Linked DNA regions of Oryza sativa Japonica Group. The main gene of each other region encodes a partner of the protein of the gene in region 2 in a complex. Links are inferred from orthologs where the notes say so. Each region holds a gene or a part of one and is shown on either strand. Other genes may lie near its edges.

What was found.
Region 1: light-mediated development protein DET1 (region 2) and constitutive photomorphogenesis protein 10 share a complex: the UniProt entries of both Arabidopsis thaliana proteins name them as parts of the CDD complex. The link is inferred for Oryza sativa Japonica Group from reciprocal best matches to the Arabidopsis thaliana genes DET1 and FUS9.

Annotation. Positions count from the first base shown.
Region 1 is NC_089041.1:23,577,307-23,581,892, reverse strand, and holds the start of constitutive photomorphogenesis protein 10, read right to left. Parts: upstream 3,033-4,586; 5' UTR 2,912-3,032; coding exon 2,623-2,911; intron 2,413-2,622; coding exon 2,339-2,412; intron 566-2,338; coding exon 418-565; intron 263-417; coding exon 165-262; 3' UTR 1-164. Other genes in the region: glucan endo-1,3-beta-glucosidase 4, read right to left, coding at 4,076-4,205, 4,294-4,321. UniProt on the Arabidopsis thaliana protein: Component of light signal transduction machinery. Involved in repression of photomorphogenesis in darkness by participating in the CDD complex, a complex probably required to regulate the activity of ubiquitin conjugating enzymes (E2s).
Region 2 is NC_089035.1:258,142-262,473, forward strand, and holds the start of light-mediated development protein DET1, read right to left. Parts: upstream 2,844-4,332; 5' UTR 2,711-2,843; coding exon 2,630-2,710; intron 2,368-2,629; coding exon 1,943-2,367; intron 1,823-1,942; coding exon 1,594-1,822; intron 1-1,593. UniProt on the Arabidopsis thaliana protein: Component of light signal transduction machinery. Involved in repression of photomorphogenesis in darkness by participating in the CDD complex, a complex probably required to regulate the activity of ubiquitin conjugating enzymes (E2s).

The DNA.
Region 1 (4,586 bases), on a different chromosome or scaffold from region 2:
GCTAACAACATAATAATTGTCTAATATAAAATGCACAGGTACATCTTATGTCACAGTCAACCTAAACAAAGTATTGATCTTTTCCCAACATTGTACATCTCAGGGTACACCAAATATATTCATTTACGGAGTTAGTGATCTTGCTTAGCTGCAGATGGAACTCCCTATCTTGCAAACCTCATCGTCCACTCCGCAGCTATTTCATCATGCTTAGTTCTATCAGTCAAGTATAAATGTCCAATGCTCGGCACAAGTGGGCAGTCTGCACGGAAAAAACAATCATAATATGAAGTTATCAAGATGAAATGAAGCAAAAATTATGTGTATATTACATAGTTTAAACAGGACTGCATGTTTTATCATGGAAGATAGTGCAGAAACAGAACAATTGTGATCATACTGTAACTTGGAACTTACATGGATCTGGGTTTGTTATGATGGCTTTAATGGCAAGTAGCACCTTTGAAATAGTTAAAGCAGGACTCCATCCTTCCCTTAAAATGTCCATACTCAAGTTACCAGTGGAGTCAACATTGCAGTGATAAATCCTTGTCTTGAAAGTTACCTAGCACAGTGACAGAACAGTTATAACTTGTAACCACGAATTGAGGTCCCCTAATACCGAAATATCGGATAAAATTACAGCAGTGGATCTCAATTGTTTCATACTTCTATATAAACATTGAAATTGCTGTTCCTTCAATATTGAAATTTTAGCATGTTCAACTGGAAGAGTGTATTACCTTCCATATTATTAATTACTGAAACATCAAATCAAGCCACAATTGCCAGCCCATGTGTATTTCCTCTGTATTATGAGTGTGCTATCCACTCTACAAAAACTTGAGAAATTCACTTACTATTGCCAAATTATATGGAGTGTAGCATTAGCAGAATTAATATGATTGCCATGTTGGACTGTATTGATGTTTGCATGGTTCCATGTGCTGGTTAAGGTAAAAGGTAGACCACTGCAGGGCTGTGTGTTAGGTCAAATCAGTCCTAGCATTGCCCTAGGCTTCCAGCACTGCTATCTAGAGAATGGGGGAGAATTCCAGATGCTCCATCAAATACTGAAGAGCAGAAATGGAGGTTGGTTGTTCGGATCCTTCATATCCTACCTCCCATCAAGGAATTATAAGTTGATGGTAATAGCTGGGCAAAGACAGTAACAGTCTTACTGTCTTAGCAACCAACAAACCATGAAGCAGGTGATCATGTAGGGCTGTGTAGGCTACAGCCAGCAGGTGTATACTGATTAGTCAATGTCAACACTAAATGGACCAAAAATCTGCATTTAGAAGGCTCATTTTTTTACCAGACTACTATGCAAATAGTATATTGACATAGGATGAAGGTGATGCCCAAGCACATTAGGCTTCCAATGGACAAAACCTTTCTCTGTAAAATTTTAACACAGCACTATCAACCAAAACAGGGGATGTCTAGGAAAACAACATTTTAGAAACTCTGCGCAGTTATTTTCTTGAACACTAAGCATAAAACAGACTTCAGATAAGTTTTCTTCATAAATAATCAAGATCATATTGAAAAGAGGTAAATGGTGCTTACCTTAAAAAGAACGCAGGTCGCTTTAATTAATAACAAAATAAACTAGCTTTAACATAATCTCTTTTGTTATCTATGCCCTTCTAATCATCACACTGTTTGCTGAGTTAGCCCTTGAACAGAAGCATTCCTTGTCCCCAAAAAGATTCATGAGATATTCCATTTTAGGATGAATCTTAATCCTTGCAGACAACTCGACACATTTTCAAACCCCTTCCAGGCTAAAATGCATAGATCATACACTTATTTTGAAGAAACTAAAAGAAGTCCGGTGAAGGTAGACTTTTGAAACAAAATACCCTATGCATTTACTAAACATACCAATGTTCATCACTTTTGTAATACCCTGTTCACATAGTGAAGTAGAACTAGCTATACAACAATATTATCCCAACCAATTATCCATCCTATTTGAATTTCTATTCCACTTCTTCAAGATTTTAGACATGCGCATGTCTCTTAAAAACATTTCTTTGGATGCAAGCATTTCCCATGTTACCTTAACCACACTTCCACGCGGTAAATCAATAGTCGTCTATCAATAGTTACTGAAGGGAATGCCATATTTATTCTAGATATTTGTTCCAATAACAGCGATATGATCACTCATGAATCACAGCATTAGGTAGAATGCACACAGACAAGGAGAGAAAATGTCAAGTTACAACTTAAGCTTCTATATGATCTCGTAGAAAGCCAGACACCTCATAACCAACAGCCCATTTAAGCAAACAGAAAAAAAAAAAAGAAGCTAATTCTTAGTTCTTACCATGGGAGGTTTAAACGGATAGTCAATTGGGAATACAATATCGAGGAAAAATATCCCTCCTTCATACGGAGATCCTACAAGATGAGCACTGCATTAGATCAGCAAAGTGAAGGTGGTCATAAGACTAGTTCACTCTACACTCCACACCCTAATTCCAAACTTGAAAAAAAAAAAACCGCGATTTCAACTAGTGAAATTCGCAGAGCCGCAGTAAAATTCGCACGAGCTTTATCGGCTGCTGCTAGCAGGGGGGAGTAAGCGGAGAGGGGGAAGGGCGATGATACCCTGAGGTCCGATGATGGTGGAGAGCCAGTGGTAGAGGTTGTCGCCCTTAGGGCCGGCGGAGCAGTCGGAGGCGTTGAGGTCCATCAGCTCCTTCTGAATCCGCTTCCCCGACGACGACACCGACGTGCCGCCGCTGGAGCCCCAGGGGCGCACGCCGCTCCATCTTCCACCCCCACCTCCGCCGCCGGAGCCCCCTCCTCCTCCTCCTCCGCCCCCGCTGGTGCCGGCGCCGGCGCCGGCGGGGAAAGGGGAGCGAGAGGTCGGGAAGGAGGAGGAAGACGACGACATGGCCTCGACGGCTGGCTTACGACTTGGCCTTGGGGGTGAGGGGGAGCGGCGCCGCCGGCGGTGGTGGGGGGATGGAGAGCGACGCCGGAGTGGGGGGAGAGCGGCGGAGAGGGGAAAGGTTAGAGGGAGTGACGGGACGATGAGGGGAGGTGCGAATTTATTTATTTATTTTTCATAATTGTTGTGATGTTCAGTGTAAAATACTACTCCCTCCATTTCACAACATAAGTCATTCTAGCATTTCTCATATTCATATTGATGTCTGTTTCACAATATAAGTCATTCTAGCATTTCTCACATTCACATTGTGAAACGGAGGTGAAACGGAGGAAGTAATTGCATTTCAATATAAATTACTCTATCCATCTTAAAAACCAAACTAGAGGAGAATTTGCAACATATGTTCAGAAATTTTATGTGGAGTTAAATCGCCACCTACAGTGGTTTTTTTAGACGGGAGTACAAAATATGAAAACTAAAATTTGAGAGAAACTGATTTGAGACGTGCTTTTATTCTGCGTGACAGCCTGATAGCTCCACATATACTCTTATAAATCCATTTTTGCTGTTCCAGTATTGCCAGTAATAATGGGCCAAAAGCGACCAAGTACTCAAATTTTAAACTGACCACACATAAATCCAACCCTGAAAAACCATAAATAAATTTCGGTGCCATGTAACTGTAACATATGGACTGCTTTAGAACGTAGAAATTTTTATGTAGGACTTAATTCTTCATTGTACAAACCAGGCCAGACATTTTTGCATCTGCTACATGAGACCAAAAAAAAAACTTAACAAACATGTAGTACTCAACAAGAGTATAAATTTAGAAGAAAAAAAATATTAGTGAGTCTGAGAGAAAAACACTGTTACTCAACAAGAGTGACAGTTTCAGTACTGAAGCGATATGCAGGGAGCACAAAACACTTTTTGAGTCATACAAACATTTCAGAAAAGAAGGTTTCCACAATTCAATACTCCCAGCCTGGCATTCAAAATTGATGTATTTGACTCCTTTCTCTAGGTCAACGAATTTTGAGAAACACATGCCATCTAACCTCAATACATCTAAGACAAATATGGCCTCCTACACTCCTACTGACAAGATCCACAATAAATTTCGGGCATCTCATCCAAAACGCATCATTTTTTTACAGGGTTTTACATGAACACCATGATAGACAGCAATGTAATTAGGTGAGTCAACCAGCACGAGTGAATTTGTGTAGCAAAATTGTCTGGGCTTACGGGCCCAGACGCCGCACCACCGTTGCTGCCATTGGAGCCAGTGCTGCAAGAAGAACCAACACTGCATCAGGACGTAGAGCCAAAAAAAAAATGTAGAACCGTTAGCACAAAAATATCGAGAAAGGACTCACCTTCCTGCAAAAATGCATGAACCATGGCCTGCATATTTTGATCCAGGGAAATTGTATTAGGCTCATCAAACAGGGAAAATAAGTAATCACCCGGTCCAATCTAACAGTAAATATTCTTGATCTCTTTGAACACACTAAAAAAACTTCAGGATGCCTTCTATAAGAAAATGCATGAAACTTCAGGATGTGATCATGCATTTAACTAGTGGTAAACACATTTTATATTAGCATGATCAGATATCTAAAGTCTAAGGTTTCTTCAAATTTTCTCGCTTACCATTCCTATGTAATCA
Region 2 (4,332 bases):
AAATGTCAAGTATATGCTCTGTCCCACCTATGAGAAAGCAACAACCTATCTGACAAAGTGACAGTTATAGTTTGTAGGTCTTCCAATTTATATGTACAAGATACAAATGAAGAATATTCATAAATGATTGTGGGATAAGTTCAGACCCACATGAAAGGTTCTGCAACGTGTTTTCAGTTTTGATTTTTTTTAAAGAGATCCTATGAGAAATTCTAGATGCGCTTCTTCATTCTATGATGGGTTGTCTATATACATTAGTTTTCCTTGATTACACATGAGCGCATGTACCACTAATATAGTTGCCATCGGCTCCATGTTCTTCCTATTTCTTTACAAAATATCCTATTGTTATAGCAAGTGTACTTACTTTTTGGATAGGAGTTCATGAAAATTGTTCTTTTGTATACAGCATCCATGATTTATATTTATGTCTTAGTTGTTCTTTATCTTGAGACAAGCAAGGTGACAGATCCTTCTTGCAAAACAAAACTCCTACTTTTGTTGAGAGGGGCAACCCATTGTCCTCAGCTCATGAAAAAAAATAATGAACGAAGCTATCAGTTGAAGAACCAAGCACACTAAGATGATAGAGGCTTATATGGTATATCTTGGATTGCATGACCACTTACCTGAGCAATAATTTCCTTCTCAATATGGAACGATAGCCATATTTCACTAACTACATGATCTGTTATTTTTCTACCACATATTAAGTTTTCACTAGGTTAATTATTACAATGCAGTTTAGTTCTTTGTGATACAAATGAGGCATTTTAGTTAAGTCGTATGGAAACACCATTTCTCCCTACTTCACAGCCATACATATTTTAGTTTTTTGAGTTAGTCATGCTTCCCTTACCAACTTCTCTATATATTTTGTGGGCATATTTACCTTCTATTGTAAAAACTGTCTAGACCAATTCTCATGGATTGCTCTTATTATTATCATTGTAGATGGTGATAGGGATCAGCAAGCGTGCAGTACATCTCAAGCACCTGCAAGCTGGTGGTTGGATCTTTACTGGCCATAGCTACTAATTCTTTTTTATGAAAAAAATTCCTCAATCAAATAAATCTCAAATATCAGATTATATCTGGTCAGTGTAACTAATGTGTTATCCTGACTCTGAAGTCAATTTTGAATAATCTTGAATTGGATCAATGCAAAGATATCTTCTATTCTTTACCCTTTGCATTATCGAGGATTGGTGAACATGTTAAGTTCAGATGTTACGGTGATATCTATCTTTTGGGGGAAGCAAGATAAATTTATACCATATTTTACCTTAATGATGCAATTTAGTTTTTTTATTTACAATTTGATCATATTACAGAGCATGCTTGGATGGCAGAGCAAAGAAAAGTACGAAGTATGGTGAAAGATGATTTTTGTTTTAAGTGCAAACAGTAATTGTTAGATCACACGCAGCGTAGCGCGTGCTTCTTTCTAGTTACTATTATTTGAACTATGAATGCCCATGGTTCCAGTGCAATCAACACCAATTTGATTAGACAGGTAATACATGACCAGTACCAACTATGATGTAAACTAAATATAGATCCAGCAATCTTGCCGTAGGGATCAGTAGGTACCTGACCATGTGAATGGAGAAATAGCTCATCATCTTCCTGGCAAAATGCACCAATTTTGCGTACTTCAACAAGGTTGCCTGAATCTCGTATCTGTAGGACATGAATTGTTTGATATCGAAGAGAGACAATGCATAGCAGGTCCTCATACAAGTAAGCTCCAATACTATGAGCCAGATTGATAAAATCATTGCGGAAAGCTTTCTCATCTAGTATTGCGCCATCGTCTAGCCTGAACAAGAGAAATATAGAAGTCGAGAACCATTCAAACGAAAGGAAAGGATGGTTATAATACATAGACATCATAACGGACAACTAAAAGTGCATTCCTAGCGAAACAAGATGATTGTACCTGACAAGATAGAAAGTAATTTTCTCAATTGATGGTACCCCATGAATAGCACCCTCAGTGGCACTTGAATCGTTGCTTTGTGCAGTTGATGTGGCAAATAAGCCAAACTGATGGCACTCCATGTAAAGGAAAAAGTCCTTGCAGATGTATTCATTGCTAGATGCAAGTGAAATTGAGTAGAGCTGCTTAAAGAAGCTGTCGAATTTCTTTGCTTTGGGTGGAAGATCATGAGAGTCGCATGGCTCATTGCATGAAAATGTTGGCCAGATGGGACGGTACACGATTAAATCTTGGTGGTTCCGGCTAAAAGCCACAAGATAGTTGCCATCATCAGTGAATTTACGAAATGAATAATCTGGGCAATCTATGTCACATATAGTGTAACTCGGAACCAAGTTCTCATAGAACTGTCTAACAGTGTTAACCTGTCAACAAGAGGGGGAAAAAAGAAGATGATGAAATCTGCTAGTATAATTGAATAGACAGTGCGCGATGCGAACTAGTAGTCGAGACGTGTGACGATGATAATAGTGAATTGACAATTGTTGAAGCGAGAAAAGGGAAATTCTATGTGGGTAGGTAGGTCAGGCATATACTCAATAAGAAAGGAAGGCAGCAAATAAGAAAGGAATACTAGTCAATATATAGTCCGTAGAAAGAGAAAGGAATGGGGGGCGGTGGGCGTACAGTAGCGCCGGGGCGTGGGGAGAGGAACTGGCGGTCGAAGACCCTGGAGGCGAGGTTGGCGCTGCGGAAGAAGGTCGCCATCACCGGGCCGCCCGTAGCCTAGCCGCCGCCGGCATCGCACGGGCGGAGGCCCTCCTGCTTGCTGCGGCGCGGGCGCGGCGGAGGAGAGAGGAATTTGGTTGGTTGGATGGTGTGGTGGTGTCTGCTCTCTCTTGTTGTTTGTGGCCACACTAGGGGTGGATATCTTGGCTCGGCTCGGCTCGCTCCAGCTCGTTAGTGTACCGAGCTGGCTCGGCTCGGAGCCAGCTCGTTCGGGGAGGCCGCGACCGACGAGGGATGGGCGGATGGCGAGGAGGAGGGGCCGAGGACGCGAGGTGCCACCGTGCGACCGGCTCGCTGCGGGCCTTGGTCGCCGGTGGTGGCAGGATGCGTCTCGCTCTCGCACTCTCGCTCGTGTTCGCCGGTTCGCGTGTGGGTTGTGGCCGCGGCGCCTGTGTTCCTTACTGTCTGCGTGCCTCTTCTCTGTGAATTAGGGATTCTAGGGTTTGTTTACTCAAGGAAATAGGCTATTGGGCCACTAATGGGCTTTTCTGGTTAGGTAGCCCGGCTCGGAGTGGACTCCTGGTCCTGGTGTTTCTCTGGCTCGTTGGCCTCGTGAGCAGCTTGCGAGCCAGCTCGAGCTAAACCCTTGGCTCAGCTCGTTAGCTTTTCTCAACGAGCCGACCACGAGCCGAGCGCACCCCTATTTGTGGTGCTCAATTTTTTGGGAGAACCAAAGCGAAGCAACTGCAACTGCGAGCACCACCGGGACATGCCTTGTGCATTCAAAGCACACCAACAAAAAAAACGATTCAGCCCAAAATAAAATATTTTATTACTATATACTATCTCCGTCCTAAAATATAACCATTTATAGATCCTGGCAATGGTCTCTGAGATACTATTTTGATCACTAATATTTATAAAAATAAGATATTTTAAATAAAAGAGTTGTATATTATGATAATTTGTTTACATGATTGACCTTTTTATTTTGCTATTAATGGCTAAAGTTAAAAATGTTTGACATGTTACTATGCTAAAAATGCTTATATTTTGGGATGGAGGGAGTAGTATTTTGTTGTTTGCCGTTTGAAAGCCATTTTAGTAAAATAAATTGCGATAAACAAAACTTCTAAAATTAAATTTCATTTTTTTTTAATTTTTTGCGAGTGTGGCTAACACAACAATAAGGCTGCATTCGTTCCAGCCGATTCCCAACTCTCCCCTCTCGTTTTCCGTACGTACACTTTCAAACTGCTAAATGGTGTGTGTTTTATAAAAATATTATATATGAAAGTTGCTTAAAAAATCATATTTGATTAATTTTTGAAAAAAAAATAGCTAATACTTAATTAATCACGTGCCAATTGCCTGTTCCGTTTCCGTGTGCACTCTTCGTGTTGGGAAGCAAAAATGAAGGAACCCAGCCTAAGCGACGTGAACAAGGCCCACAAACAAATTTTCTTTAGCAAATAGTAGGATTTTTGTCGAAATCGTATAAAACTATATATATTTTAAGTTGTGCCATATAATATTTAGTTTTCAAATTTCGCAGTACACACCACCCTTATTCAAGTTTTTATGCAGTTGGATAATGTTAGCTTCATAAATCATTTGGATGACCATTTTCTTCTTATTTTAGATTAAATATGAATTTTAAA